2 linked regions of the Lonchura striata genome follow. The protein of the gene in region 1 interacts with the protein of each later gene in a pairwise test. Links are inferred from orthologs where the notes say so. Each region holds a gene or a part of one and is shown on either strand. Other genes may lie near its edges.

Region 1 (7,343 bases):
GCATCCCTGAACTGTGGCTTTGCAGGCACATGCCAAGCCCCAGTACAGTGCCAGAACCTGCTGGTTTTCACTGGGGTAGGCACCTTTGGCATGTCAGTTTCCCAGGGTTACTTGCTTGTTCAGGTGGAGTCCCAGGCTATGGGAGGTGATAACTAGCCCAGGCACTTGCCCAAATCCTGCCACCCACGGACCAGCCACCTCAGGGCACATTTCAGTATTGACTCACCCAAAAAATTGTCTTCTCTTACATTAGGATGACATCAGAATACACAGACCCCATGATATGTCAACTGTGTTAATTACTAGTATTAAACATCTCATGTAAGGCTGAGCAGGAACAATAAAGCCACCCACACCAGGTGGGAGTGGGAAATGGGATCCTCTCCACAAGGCAGCTCCCCCAGCAGAGCAAGGCCATCTGTGCCAGGGCAAAGCACAGAGCCATGGTTTGTACTAACATGTTCCCAAAGCCCAGCAAAGTAAAGAGATAAGAAATGCAGCCAACAAACACCGTGACTCAACAGGAGCTGCCTACTTAGTAACTACTATGGCTAAAGCACACTTAGCACAGAACAGCCATTGCCTCAGGCCCCACACTGGGCACTAAACTGTGGTGGGCTGACCCTGCCTGGACACCAGCTACCCACCAAGCTGCTCTCTCACATCCCTGCTCAGTGGGAGCGGGGCAGGGAGAAAGTAAGATGGGAACGGAATTTGTGGGCCAAGATAAAGACAGTTTAATAAAGCAAAAGCAAGGCTGCATGTGGGAGCAAAGAAAAACTAAATATTTATTCTCTACTTTCAACCAGCAGGAGATGTCCGGCTACCTCCTGGGAAGCACAGCTTCAGTACACAGAGCAGCTGCTCCAGAAGACAGATGTTTGAATAAGGAATGCCCCCCATGTCCTTTCTCTTAGCTATTGCTGCTCAGCAGATGCCATATCGTTTGGAATATCCCAAGATCTTGCCCCCACCCCAGCCTGCTGGTGAGGTGGGAATGTCAGAGACAGCCTTGATGCTGTGGGAACAAAAGCCAAAACACTGGTGTTTTATCAACACCTTCCTAGCTACCAATACAAAACACAGCTCTATGAGGGCTGCTAGGGGTAAAGTTACCGTCAGACACAATCTCAGTCAGACCCAAAACAACTGTTTATTTAAAAAAAAAAAAAAAAAAAAAAACCAGAAACTTTTAACAAAACCACACCGAACAGTGAGGATCCGAAAAGCAAGGCAGCACTGGGGGCATCACAAAGAGAAATGTTCTGCAGGCCCTGACCAACCCAAGGGCTAGATGTGCAGACAAGCACCTCCAAGCGCGTAAGACCTTGTCCACTTCTCTCTCATTCAGACAGTGATACTGTTTATTAAGCAGGTAAGGTTGTAAATTAGAAACCTGAATCTCTTGTGCATCCTCACTGGGTGCCCAGGCACCTGGAGGGCTCCAATGGTGGCAAGCTTTTAAAAAAAGTTCAGTTTGAAAGCAACCACAGTGGCAGCTGCAGCTTGGAGGAAGCCACCTGCTTAAGTGCAACACGAAGAGTATGTCATAGCATAAGATGTGTGTGACATGCTACATTTCTTCTTGCCCAAAATCCTACAGAGCTGTCCATTTTTCCCTTGTTGCCCTGTATCAGCACAGAACATCCCCTCTAGCTCAGAAAGAAGGGAGAATGAACACATGTATATCTGCAGTCTAAGGAGAGTCACCTTTTGCAGGAACTTGGATTTCACTCCATACCCTGAACCCAAATGTGAGAACAGGGCTAGCTCTGGAAGGACAGAGTCCTCTGTGAGCTAGGAATCATGAAGCAATTAATAGATTGCAGGCTGGTGATTTGCCTTCTGCATCTGAATGATCTTGCCAAAGCCACCTCTTCCCACATCGTAGTCTGTCCGGTATTCATCTCGCACCTGGGGCACAGCAACAACACATGTATTAATAGCCAGCACTGCCTGTCCCCTACTAGACTTCAGAATCATCATCCCCTCCTTGTTCAGTTGGTGGGGAACTGAAGTTCAGATTAGAAGCACTTCAACTCGTCTGAGATCTCTTCAACTAATCCACCAGAAACGTGGTAATGGTGGTGAAAATGACCAAAAGGATGTATCTGATTGTTGAGAATTTTTCAGGTAAGAAGCAAAGAAGACCCCAAAGTATTTTTGTTCAGCTTTTCCATACACCCTTTTGAACTGCCAGATTTGGCCTTCAGAACATTTTATCTCATCTAAACCTCATCCTTGCCCTTGGGGAAACTGCTGTTATTGAGATTGGCCTGGCAGCCACACTGCTTCCCTCTACTCAAATTCTGGATCATTTCAAAAGTACTAGCTTGGTTTAGGGAACATTCTGCTTGCATTGCAGGACTTTTGGAGTCCTAGACAGAAGTGGCCTTAAGTTCTATTTCCAGCCTTTAACACCAGGTGTCAATTACCAAAACAACCTGGGAGTGAGTAAACTTCATTATCAGGTCTTTACAGCCTGCACATTGTTCTCCCTAGGACAAAATCAGCAAGTAAGTACACGGAGTCTTAGAGGATCAAATTCAGGGATGAACTGGCATTGCCTTTACCTGTCCTCCAGTCTTTCCTCTCCCATACTGTCGCCCCTCCTTAAACCCTGCATCCCAGTCCGTGCGGATGATGCGGTCGTCCAGCCGTGTGCCGTTGATAAACCTCATGGCATGCTCAGCATCTGCTCTCGTGTAGTATCTGAGGCACTCTGTAAGAACAACTAAGTGTGCTTTGTTGGGTACAGGGAAAAAAAACAGGGAAAGTATTGTATTTGAGAAGCAGAACTCCCCCCCTACTGCCTTCCAGCCTTTTCTACTCTTCCTGCTCTTCTCTATGAGATCAAAAACTGCACTCATGTAAATCTAAGCTAAGACCAGCTAAGGCTCAGAAAGGATTCTGTACTTTAATGTTAGTACCTGCACAGACAAGACAACGAAACAAGACATTAAAGCCTTGCTAAGGGCAAGAAATCAGTAATATGCCTTTTTGTACTATGTAAAGCTTGACTGAAATAGAACAAAAGGAGCAGGCTTCACAGGAGAGCTCTGCATAGACAGCTCCTGGCACAACCTGTATAAGCATGTACCCTTTGCTTGAAAACGCCCCCATGGCTTATCCAGCTACTTCCTTCAGGTGTAAAGTTGAGATAAGAAAGTAAACGTGCTCTGGACATGGAAGACATCAGACTGATGAATGTAACAGCTCTCATTCTGGCCATAAAACCATTAAACGAATGAATTAAAGGGGCTCTCTGCCGCCTCCAGAAACTACAGCTCTGGTGGCACTTGTCACGTATGGCACCACTACACAATCGGTCTCAGGGCACAGTGAGGAAGGGGCAAGGATGGACGGGATGTGCCTGGTAGGAAGCACTTGGCTATCACCTTTCCAGCAGCAGTACAGATACACTTGCAGTGCAGAGGAACTACAGGCGCCAACCACATCCCTACTGACAAAAGGGAACCAGAAAGGATACTCTACAAAGCAGAAGCCACAGGGGGTTTTCTTGATCTTGTCCAGACCCATGACAATTCTCTTGACATCTCCGCACTTGGAGAACAGCTCCTGGATCTGCTCCTCGGTGGTGTAGAAGGAGAGATTACCGACATACAGCGTGGAGGAAATCTTCAGGGATTTCTCCTGCAGCTGCCTGCTACCCTGCGGGCACAGAGGCGCACGCCGCGGGCTCAGCGCGCTCGCCGTCCCGCTCCTACCGCCCCGTGCCCTCCCGCTGCCCGGCTTCTCGCACGGCCTTGCCCCGGCCTCAGCCCTCCCCGCCCCGGCCGGGCCGGGCCGGGTCCCGCCACCCGCGGCGCCGGGCGCACCCGGAAGTGCTGGTCCCGGTACTGGCTGATCTCGCAGTACGAGTCGCTGTTGAGCCCGCTGAGCGTGGTGTGCAGCAGCCCCGACATGGCGCCCGCCGGCCCCACCGCCGGGATCCTTCCAGAACCGCCGCGCGCCGGACGCGGGGAGCGGCGCGCGAGAAACGCCGCTCCCGCCCCGCGCGATTGGCCGCGCCGGCTGTCACTCAGGCGGGGGCGGGGCGGAGCCGCCGGACAGCCAATCGGCAGCTCGGGGGCCCGCCTGGAGCGCTGGGCTGGGGCGCGCAGGCGCAGTGCGGGGCGCAGCGCTCCCGCTGAGGGGCCATGGCGGGGCCGCGGGCGGCGGCCGCGGAAGGTGCTGTGGGCCCTGGGCTCTCCCCGATAAGCGCCGCCCCTGGCGGCTGACGTTGGGCTGCGTGTCATGCCCCGCTGTCCTCCTGTCTTACAGCGCTGGTGCAGGAGCTGCTGAGGGAAGAGGCGCCGTCCCGCATTGCTGCCCTCGCGGAGGAGCTGTTCCAGGCGGCGGAGAGCATCTCTGAAGGGGATGGGAAGGTGGCGGAGGGAGAGTCCCCCGCTCCCAGCCCGTCTGAAGAAACGGGGCGTGCATGTGCTTCGCACCCCACAGCCCTGGCCCAGGTTGGTGCTGCAGCTCCCTAAACACCAGCTGCTGCTGCTGCTTCCCATCCTTGGCGGTGAGGCTAAAAGTGTAACACTACTGAAACGTAAAGAAAAGAGTTCACTTCTTCGTCATTTGCCCCAATAGCGTAAAAGTCCAAAATAAAGTGGGAAATGTTATTTTTAAAAGTCAATGTGAAATGATCTTGAATGTAAAAATATGTGTGTCAGTAACTCTGCTCTCATGAGACCCCACCTGGATACTGTGTTCAGGTCTGGGGTCACCAGCATCAGAAGGATGTGGACCTGCTGGAGGAAGTCATGAAGGTGACTGAAGGGCTGGAGCACCTCTCCTGGGAAAGGCAGATCGAGTTCAGCCAGAAGAGAAGGCTCTGGGGAGAACTTACAGCACCTTTAGTGCCTAAAGGGGTTCCAAGAGAGCTGGAGGAGGACTTTGGCCAAGGGCTTGAAGTAATAGGAAAAGGGGAAATGGCTTTACATTGAAAGTAGGTTGACTTAGATTAGATATTAGTAATATACTGTGAGGGTGGGGAGGCCCTGGCAACAGGTTGCCCAGAGCAGCTGTGGCTGCCCCATCCCTGGAAGTGTCCAAGGCTAGGTTGGACAGGGCTTGGAGCAACCTGGTCTGGTGAAAGGTATTGGAACTGGCTTGTCTTTAAGGTCACTTCCAACCCATCCATTCTATGATAATAATGGGAAAAAATACTGGTTACTTGTGCTGTTAAGGTATATATTATTTCAAACTACTAGTAGTATCTAGTTGTAATTTCAAGGAAAAATGGAAGCAGAGAGCACTGATGCATTAAGCATTTGGTACTGGATCAGAGGAGAGGCCCTTCTCACCTTGTCTGTGGATTCCCATAGTGACAGCAGATAACCCAAGGAAGAAGAAAACAAGCAAGCATGTAATTTTAACTGCCTGGTAAACAATATTCCAGTACACAATATTATATTTGAGGTACTAATTTTCAGTCCTTGCTAAAGTTTATCAGATGGTTGTTCATAATGTTTGCTTTTTCCTTCTGTTTATTTCTCCTAGAGGAGTACTTAGAAAGAAGTAAACATTACTTTTAAAACTCTTTTTTCAAAGAGAAATCTGGTAATATATGAATCTGAAATAAGGAAGAAGACCAGCTGAGATATAGTCCAGCTTCTTCCTCTAAAATTATATTTTCAAGAGACATTTAATAAGTAGCAATTATCAGCTAAGGAACACTGGTTTTGGAAGTCCTAAATTTGCAACAAGGAGCAAAATAAGTTAGCAGGTGTAGCAGAAAGTGTCAATAGTACAGTTTGTAAAGAAATACAAGAGCATAAAAGTGCTATCCTTAAGTTCTTCCTGAGTCAATTGGGGTAAATTATTTTTGAAGAAAGGAGAAATCATTCATTTGTAATCTGGCCACTTCAATAAGAGGGGCTATGAACTCTCTCCTAGATAGGCAAGATCTCTCATGAAAAGTAGAATAAAGTGATGGAAAATGCAGCCCCTCAGGTGGGTTGCTAAAGCAGATTATTGCTTTTATGTAGTGTTGTATCTTTTGAACAAGAGTATATACTCAGTAACCTTTGTTCTTTGTTTGCTAATATCCAAAGTTTCCCAGTGTAGGTATTTAAAGTAATTAAGCTACTTAGTGTTCTTTTTGATGTGCAAAAGAGGTGAAGCCTTACTACAGGTCGTTCTCAAATGTGATAAGAATTCTTAGAGTTCTTTTCCAACCCCTTCAGATTTTAGGTGAAGAAATGCTGCATCCATTCAGCATGCCTGTTTTCAGGTCACTGTCCAGCATGTCCTGTGGGATCCTGTGACAGTTTTATGGAAAGCTCACACCTTTCACTCTGGTGTAAACGGAAGTTGACAAACACTTGGAGAGGCCATTCCTGTGAAACACATGAAAGATGCTTATTTTTCAGTAGTAAATTTCAATTGGATCCATATCCGGGACAAAATTTAATTGAGTGGAATTCTCCCCTTCAGGTTGAAGAGAGTGCAGTCAGCTTGTGGAACTGGACTGTGACCAAACACACAGCTGCTGTTATCAGTGATGAGCAAAGAGCCAAACGTATGTATGTTCTGTACCTTCCTAAAGGTGTTCTATGTGCTGTAGCATGGAAACTAAACACTCTCTGCTGCCAGGCACATAAGTAGTGCTGTAGATTTGTTTGAGCCTTTGTAGACATGGTCTAGAAAGACAAAAATGTACTGGTGGGCTTGTATAAACAGTTCAAGAAGAAGCATCCTAATGCAATACTTATCTTCTTGTGACACAGAATCAGTGTAGGCATTTTTATCACTCTCCTTTCCATGCCAGAGCACCAGTAAGGAGGTGATGAGACCAAAGGAAGCTGTAATTTGCCTTCTGAGACTGTGGTTCAAATCTAAAAATGTATGGAAATAACACAGATAAATTTTAGACCGTTGGTCACTTAATTTATATCAAGTGAGATAGTTACATTAAAAAAACAATCTCATCCACGTTTACATACAGAAACATTCTAAGTCCTCTTTTTATTGACCTGCTTTAGCCAGGTGCACAGCTGGTAGGTTCTCTTGGGCCAGGGGCAGGGCTGGGGGAAAGCAGAAATGAGCTTTTGGGATTTTGCCTTAGTGTGTTCTTTCTGTGGTTTTGTGGGATTGCAGTGTCAAGCCTACATTCTTGTCCTGAGGGATTATAGTCAAAATGATGTATAATCTGCATCATATGAATTATACCAGGTAAAGGGAAAAGGGTAAGTTGACACAAAGTAGAGCACGATGTTCTCAGATCATTGCTGAAGGGCCACGGAGAGGCTGTTTAAAGTACATTAAATAGTGTCTTTTCCATCCCTGATGTCTAAGGAAGGCCTGAAAATATTTTTGCTTTTTACTTTGAA
Region 2 (7,774 bases), on another chromosome or scaffold:
TCCACAAGGTGCCCTGGTCAGGGAAATGGTTTGGCCAAAGCCCATCCTCCTGCTATGTAATGAATAGAAAAGGGAGGAATCCATAATCATGATGTAAAGGAGAGGGTGCAACCAGCAGGACATCAATCAAATGGAAAATGATAAAGGAAGCCTCTTGACAGGAGGGGCCAGCAGTAGAGGGAGGGATAGTGGCAGCATCATGAGGCCAAAAGAAATTTTGGCACGGCAATAAATCCTGGAGCGGCTGGAGCCGCTCGAGCACTAATGATGAGGCGAAAATACCAGCCACGTTTAACAAATATTTCTGCTCTGTATTTGGAGAGAAGCAGGACGACATGCTTGAATTGTACAAGAGTGATGAAACCGCCTATTAATTACTGCCGGGAATGTTAAACAACATCTGCCAGCTCAGCGGGCCCAGGCACCGCCCGCCCCGGCCTCCTCCAAGAGCTGGAGGAGAATTTGGCTTCCTCATTAATTTCCTACGAAATCTTGGAATAGCAAGAAAATCCTGGCCAGCTGATGGAGAGCCCACCCATGCTGGGAGCTGCAGGGAGGCAGGGGTGCTCAGTCCTTAACTTGGCTCTGCTGGGATTTATATCATGTTTGCACCCAGTACAATCCTTCTTGATGAAGAATAGCCGTAAGTTGGCAAAGGTTGGGCTTTTCTTTCCCATAACTTGGTATATAGATTTTCTGTATATTCATGTATTTTTGGAGGTTGCAAGAAAGTGAGGCTTGAGCTGGAAAATGTGCTCATTAAGGCACCCTTCAGGAACCTCTGTCACAGCTTTGGGAGGCACTGCCATCTTTCCCTGCATTTCTCATGTGCTGTGCAGTGCCTGCAACCAGAAAAATGGGGGGGACAGAAGGGCAGAGGGGATAGGGGAACAGGGGAAGGGAGGAGATGTAAAGGGGCTGGAGGAATGGAGGGGAAGGAGCAGAGGAGGGCGAAGAAATAGAATAAGAAGGCAAAGATGAAGAGGAAGAGGAGGAGGAGAGAGGGGGTCCAGGAGGGAGGACCCCATAGGACCAGAGCAAGTTCCATCTGTGGCACAGTCCTGCTCCCCCATCATTAGCAGCAGAAGGTAGCTTCTTCATTTTAGGAGGTGGAAACTGAGCAAGAAAAGTGGCTGAAGGGCACAGCAGACTTCAACAGCAGAAAACAGGTGGCTCAGCAGCAGAAAGACAGTAATTAACAAATTAACTCTGTACAGTATGCACTGACCAGGTTAAGCAGAGGAGGACTTGACAGAGTCAAGTCAGAATCCCAGAAGGAGTCCTCAGCAGGCACCAGGGCTGCCACCTCTCTTCAGTGCCAGGTCCTTGAGTCAAACCACCACTGGTGCCCACGGCTGTGAAAACAAGGAGGTCCAAGAAACTCAGGTGGGATTCTGGGTAAGGCAGGGAGCTGGGCAGATACATGCAGCCAGCCACGTCTCATCACTCTGCAAAGCCTGCCCCAACACCGGGGAGCTGGGAGGGAACCCAGCAGGGGTGATGGGGCTCAGGGCACAGCTGCCATGGGGTTACACTGGTCTCAGTGTACAGGTGGGGAGGTGGGGCTGGGCTGGTGCTGGTCCTGTGGAGAGGCTTTTTATCTCTTGGCCCCTTTGCATCCCGAGGGCACAGGTTTAAGGAAGACCATCTTTGGTGAAAAATCATGAGATTTAATACAAGCAAAACTCCCGCAGCTGCCTCCACAAGATGCTGGGTCACATGTGGATTATTTTTCCCAGACCTTTTTTACACATAAAGAGGTTAGAATTTACTCCCTATAAAAGCCAAAATCCAAATATGGCTGCAAAATATTGGGGTGCTTTGGAGGAGAGAAGAAAGCTTGTGGGGAAGAGATGCTTGGGATGCCCTCTTTCAGTCTGAGCCCTGGATTCCCTTGCACAGCCACAAGGTGCAGGGGGAAATGGGACAGGTCTGGGGGTGCCCAAGAGGGATGGGGTAAGAAGTGTCAGTGGGATGGCGCCATCCAGACACCCCAGCCCACAGCACCTCATCCCTCACGGCCCTCAGGGGGCCAGCTGGGCCACCTGGGACAGACAGTTACAATACAGAAATGTCAATTTAAATTAAAACATCTTTCATAAAGGAGAAAGATAAAACCTGCCCTGTAGTAAAATGAGATGAGAGAATTATGGGGTACTGGGAGGACTGGTGTCCCCACTTCAGTGGGCTCAGGGTGGGGGGCTGGCTTGGCTTCTGCTGTTGGCACTGCAGGGCACCCCGAGGCACTGCCATCTCCCCATCCCAGCCATCACAGAGGCCAGAGCTGGGTCTGCAACGAAATGTCAGCTCGACAATAAAATGTGGAGAAGCTACATTTTCTTCAGGCTAATAAAACTCCTGGGCAGCAGCAGAGATGCTTGGTACAGAGCTGCTCTCCCTCTCCAGCACCCTCCTTGGGCCCCTCCTCATCTTCCTTGGAGATACGGGGTCCATCTGACCCCATGCTCATTGTGCCAGCCCCTCAACAGAGGCTGCTGAGCACAGGCCCCAGCAGCAGTGTGAGACACGGCTCCAGAGCTGTGTGTGCCACGGCAGGGAGTAAATCCTCAGCGTCCTGTCAAGGTAAAGTGACAAAACACCGGCCTGCAATGCAGGAACTGCAGTTATAACATGAGAAAATCAATGCAATATATTACCAGGGACATAAAGATGCTATTAATGCTTCAGCGCAGAGCCCTCAGCTTCACCTGCCATCGCAGGGCAGGTTTACATGAAGGCTCTGTGCATTCCCATCTGGTTGCTCAGGTCACTCACATGCTGGGGCTCAGTTCTGTGTTTATTCACTGACACCCCCACCCAGCAAAGCTTTCCTGCTCCCACACACTGACTCCTGGGCTTTGACCCTGTCAGGGGCCTGGGCTCCAGCTGGAGATGTAACCAGGGCTGCTGGGGCGATGCATGGCCTCAGTGAATGCCTTTCTGAGGTGCAAGGACACAGCGAGGCTGCAGCCCCAGGCCAGGCAGGTACCAGCTTTCTTTCTAGGGATTCCAATGACTGTGCAGCTCTGCAATCCACCCACCTGCACTCAGGTGCCTCCTGGAAAAGACTGAAGAGGATGACAACCCCTGTGCACCACAGAATGAGGCCACAGGATATGTATAAGGTGCAGCACTCCCCTGGCATGGCAGCTGCCGGCAGGGAGCAGTCTGTGTCCTGGGGACATGTGTGCTGGATAAGGAGGAGAGCTGGGCATATACATACAGCCAGCCACATCACATCACTCTGCAAAGCCTGCCCCAATACCGGGAAGCAGGGAGGGACACCCACCAGGGGTGATGGGGCTCAGGGCACAGCTGCCGTGGGGTTACACTGGGGAGGCGGGTCTGGAGGAGGTTGGTGCTGGATCCCGTGGACAGGCTTTTCGTCTCTTGGCCTCTTTGCAACCCGAGGACATGGTTGCCACTCCCTGCAATTGACAGTTTGGACTGTTACTGAGAAGTTGAGTCAAGCCTCTTCTAATTGATTAATCAATAGCTTTAATTGAGTTGAGACTCCTTAGTGGGTAACTTCACCACTGTTATCCCCTTCGCCAGCACTACCCCACACTGACCCCCCACCAAAAACCTGTTGCTGTGGCCTGGCCTCTGCCCAGGCTGTGCTCCCACAGCACAGCGAATTCCTGGGGCTTGCCGTTGCCTGGGGCTGCAGAGGGCTACTGCAGCAGTGACAGAGGGCTCGGACCGTGCGGGGCTCCCCCAGCACGGGGTAGGAGCCCCCAGGAACAAGCTGAAACACAAGGGGCTGCAAAATGTCCACGGCTTACGGTACCCGTTCTGTCAGGCACGGCAGAGCCCCGGGCACGGGCAGGGCAGGACACGCACCCCGCCCGCGCAGCCTGCGGGAGCGCGGGGGGACACACGGAGCAGGGGAATGGGCACTGGGGGCGCGGGGCTCCTGCGGGCACCGCCGGGGTCACGCTGCTGCACGCCCGAGCCACAGCTCTGCAGAAGCGGAGAGGAACATTTTATGGTAAAATATGCAGAGCATGGGACAAAAGGAGAGAGCCTTTCTCGCATAATGAGACTCTGTCAGAGACAAGCTCCCCAGGAAACCAATTAAGAGGGCGCTTCGCGTGTGTCAGGCCAACACCTGGCAAACCCCCCTTTCCCAGAGTGAATTCCAGCCGCGTGGAATTCCAGCAGCAGCTCCATGCGGCCCCAGCACGGCTCTGTCCCGCAGACCCTCAGGCGCAGCCGGGAACCCCACGCGTGTCACAGGCGGCACGAAGCCGTCTCTGCCCGCGGGGGCGCGGCGTGGGGCCGCTCGCCCACGGCCGCGGGCACGTCCCGGAGCCCTCGGCCCAGCACTGCCGCCGCCGAGGGCGCTCGCTGCGCTCCCGGGCCGGGCCGGGCCGGGGCTGTCCGGGCGGGACGCGGGGCCCGGAGCGCCCCGGGAGCGCCGCCCAGGCCCGCCCCGCCCCGCCCCGCCGCCATGGCGCTGCGCTTCTCCGCCAACCTCTCATGGCTCTTCCCCGAGCTGCCGGCGCTGCCGGCGCGGCTGGAAGCGGCGGCGGCCGCCGGGTTCGGAGCGGTGGAGGCGGCTTGGCCGGCGGGCTGCCCGGCCCAGGAGCTGCGGGCCGCGGCGGAGCGGGCGCGGGTGCAGATCGCGCTCCTCAACGCCCCCCCCGGTACGGCCGCGGCCCGCCGCTCCCCCCGTGCGAGGGGAGCGAGGACCCTCCGCCGACCCTGCCGCTCTCTCCCAGGGGACCCGGAGGCGGGCGAGCTGGGGCTGGCGGCCGTGCCGGGGCGGCAGGCTGCCTTCCGACAGGGCCTGGAGGCGGCCGTGCGCTACGCCAGGGCTGTGGGCTGCCCCAGGTAGGTGCGAGGCGGGACCCCGGCCCCGGCTGCGGTCCTGCTCCAGCGCTCCTGCCCTTTGCCCCGCGGTGCCTGCCGCCGCCGGGTCACCGAGCCTCTCCCGGGCAGCATCTCCTGCTCGGCTGCGTGGGGAAGGAGCCAGCTCGGGCAGACCCCGCTGTGCGGGGCCGCGGCCTCGGCGTGCTCGCCGGGAGCGGGCCCAGAGCTGCCAGGCACGAGCCTGACCCTGCCCTTCGCAGTAGAGGCTCTTGAGTAGGCTCCCACCTCCACACAACCGTCCTCAGGATAATCCTCCCTTTTTCCTCCTCAACTGCACCAGTCGTTTCCACCAGGACACCACAACAGTTGCTTTATTGAGGCCACGCTGACTCCAGCACTAGCAGAGACACCATAAAAGATGCAATTAGCCTGGCACAGCTCCCCCTTCAGCAAACCAACAGGGCCCTTTTATTCCCCTTACTTTGGACCATTCTTTTCGGTTGCAACTCAGTCCAAAGCCCTGTGGAGGGCATGGGCTAGGCAGCCCAGAGGCTGCCCAGCACCATTTGCACACTGGTACAGGCACACTGAAAAGGTTTTTGTTTCTACTGTGTTCCTTCCCCCAGTAGTGGCTGAAGATGGCCTGGTGCTTGAGCTCTTCATGGCAGGGCAGTCCAGCAGGCAGCACTGTCCCCTCCCTGCTCACAGCCAGCAAGCAGTGACACCACGCAGAGGGCAGGCCCCTGGCAGAAGTAGCATGCCAGTTGCCCAACATGCTGGTTTGGGGCTCCTCAAGAAGCAAGAGCCCAAAAAGCTTCAGAGTCAGGGTGAAAGAGCTGAAAGCAGTTAACAAAAGAGAGAAGAAGTAAGGTCTGTAGTTTGTCAGGCAAAAGGTTCAAAGTCATCCCTCTGTGGATTGAGGTGGAATGGAGCATATTTGTGTCCTGGCTGGCAGCTGGCTGCTGTTGTGCCTCCTGGAGGAGAGATGGATCTTCTTACCCCTTTCTGTGTCTGCTCCCCCAGCCTGGCCCCCTTTTCCATCAGTAAAGGAAGGTGTATTAGATCAGGCCAGCTGCTCACAGTTGCTGCCTGTGATTATCTTTCTGTGCCTGTAGGATTCATGTGATGGCTGGGCGGGTTCCCTTGGGCACAGACCGGGCTGCAGTTGCAGGTGAGATGGAAACCACCTTCATTGAGAATCTCAGATACACTGCTGACCTCCTGTCCCAGGTAAGTGGGGAATGGGTCCTGCTTTGTACGTGCAGTTCTTAGGATACCCAAGATGGGGAATAGCCCACCAGCCTGGCATAGGGAAGTTATGCTTCCTGCTGCAGAAATAACAGGATGCTCCTCAGGGTGACATTACTGTTTACAGGAAGACATGATTGGACTGCTGGAGCCTATTAACAACCGTATCACTGACCCTCGCTACTATCTGAACACCCCACACCAAGGTAAACCAGACAACAAAAGTCTCCTTCAGAGGAGAAGGATCTCCACAGTTGATAAAGGGGGTCCTGGGGTTTCTCTGCAAAGCTTCCACCCTGGGGCCATGGTTTCTCATTTTTTGCCCCCTTAGCTGCTGCCATTCTGGAGAAAGTGGGACGGCCCAACCTGAAGCTGCAGCTGGTGAGTCAGCATTGAAGCTCTCCATGAGAGAAACTTGCACAGGTCCACAAAGGAATTCTGGTGGCCATGGCCTTGTTAGATCCCCTTGGGGATACTGGACAGGGATTAAAGCACAGCTGTCCTTAACCGCTCACAGTTGATCAGCTGCACCCTCCATTTTCCTCTCTCGCCCCCAGGACCTTTTTCACTGCCAGATCATGGATGGCAATTTGTCACACAACCTGGAGACGTACTTCCCACTCATCGGTAATACCCTGTGCCCAGACCACTGGGGAGTGGTTTTGAGAGGGGGCCCTCCTACTCCAGGCTCTGCTGTAGCTGGCTGAGGGTGTGGGGCTGATCTTGGGTCACCTTGTCTCATGGCCAAAGAAGGCTGCAAGCAGGGCTGCCTTAGGCATGGCCTCTCCCCTTTCCCCGCTAGGTCATATCCAGATTGCACAGGTCCCAGGGCGGCACGAGCCCGATAGCCCTGGGGAGTTGAACTTCCCCTACATCTTTGAGCTCCTGGAGTCCCTTGGCTACACTGGCTATGTGGGGTGCGAGTATGCTCCGAAGGGTGAGTAGACCTGCAGGTCTGAGCCCTACGGGCAGTCCAAGCACAGACCAGCTGGCTACATACTGTGCAAAGACAGGCAGGTCCTGGGAGGCACAGGGTGTCATCCCTACCTGGGGATGAGGGCTCTGTCCTGAACAGAAGTTGCTCCAGCTGCAGCAGGAGACCTTGTCTGTTACTGCAGGAGACACCCTGGAAGGTCTGGGCTGGCTGCGATCCTACTGGGAAAGCCGAGGGCTGCAGCATGGTGGGACCAGCAAGGCAGCCAAGTAAAACTAGAAAACCATGAGAATAAAAGACAAAACAATGGCTTATCAGAGGAGCATGTGTCTTCTCTAGGACTAGGGGAGTGTGGTGGGTGGGATGATTACCTAGAATGAGATTAGGAGCATCTTTGTCATTTCCCTTCCCCAGGCTTTACTGGGCCAGCCCAAGCTGTTGAGCCCTCATCTACAGAAGTACCACTTGTAGTGTGTTCAATTTAGTGATGGCTCAGGCACCACTGTACCACTTCAGGTACAGAGAAAACTTTCACTTCCAGGCTGCAGGAGTGTCCAAGAAGAGGTTTCCAGTCTCCCCAATAAGGGGAGCATTCCAGCTGGTGCCTGAAGTTGTAGAAAGAACACTTTGGACTTCCAGGTACTGAAGTTCTCAAGGCTGTTGCCAGTGTCCAGCACTGGCAGCAGGGCTGCAGGTGAAGCAAGCAGTCCCCTCCCAGGCTGTCTGATCCAAGGTAACAGGCTGCCTGCACATGGATATCCAAGCCTTGACTGTCTT

What was found. The genes of interacting proteins can lie anywhere in the genome.
Region 2: the proteins of TEX11 (region 1) and HYI interact in binary tests that used the Homo sapiens proteins (3 or more experiments, as listed by UniProt). The two-hybrid records come from large-scale screens. The link is inferred for Lonchura striata from reciprocal best matches to the Homo sapiens genes TEX11 and HYI.

What each region holds. Positions count from the first base shown.
Region 1 is NC_134616.1:19,168,659-19,176,001, forward strand, and holds the start of TEX11 (testis-expressed protein 11), read left to right. Parts: upstream 1-4,135; 5' UTR 4,136-4,160; coding exon 4,161-4,191; intron 4,192-4,284; coding exon 4,285-4,472; intron 4,473-6,447; coding exon 6,448-6,532; intron 6,533-7,343. Other genes in the region: nuclear cap-binding protein subunit 2, read right to left, coding at 1,816-1,914, 2,574-2,712, 3,491-3,672, 3,840-3,926. UniProt on the Homo sapiens protein: Regulator of crossing-over during meiosis. Involved in initiation and/or maintenance of chromosome synapsis and formation of crossovers.
Region 2 is NC_134611.1:14,980,449-14,988,222, forward strand, and holds HYI (putative hydroxypyruvate isomerase), read left to right. Parts: upstream 1-4,453; coding exon 4,454-4,649; intron 4,650-4,724; coding exon 4,725-4,836; intron 4,837-5,158; exon of another isoform or gene 5,159-5,930; coding exon 5,931-6,045; exon of another isoform or gene 6,046-6,190; coding exon 6,191-6,269; exon of another isoform or gene 6,270-6,394; coding exon 6,395-6,444; exon of another isoform or gene 6,445-6,620; coding exon 6,621-6,690; exon of another isoform or gene 6,691-6,865; coding exon 6,866-7,000; exon of another isoform or gene 7,001-7,181; coding exon 7,182-7,270; 3' UTR 7,271-7,314; downstream 7,315-7,774. UniProt on the Homo sapiens protein: Catalyzes the reversible isomerization between hydroxypyruvate and 2-hydroxy-3-oxopropanoate (also termed tartronate semialdehyde).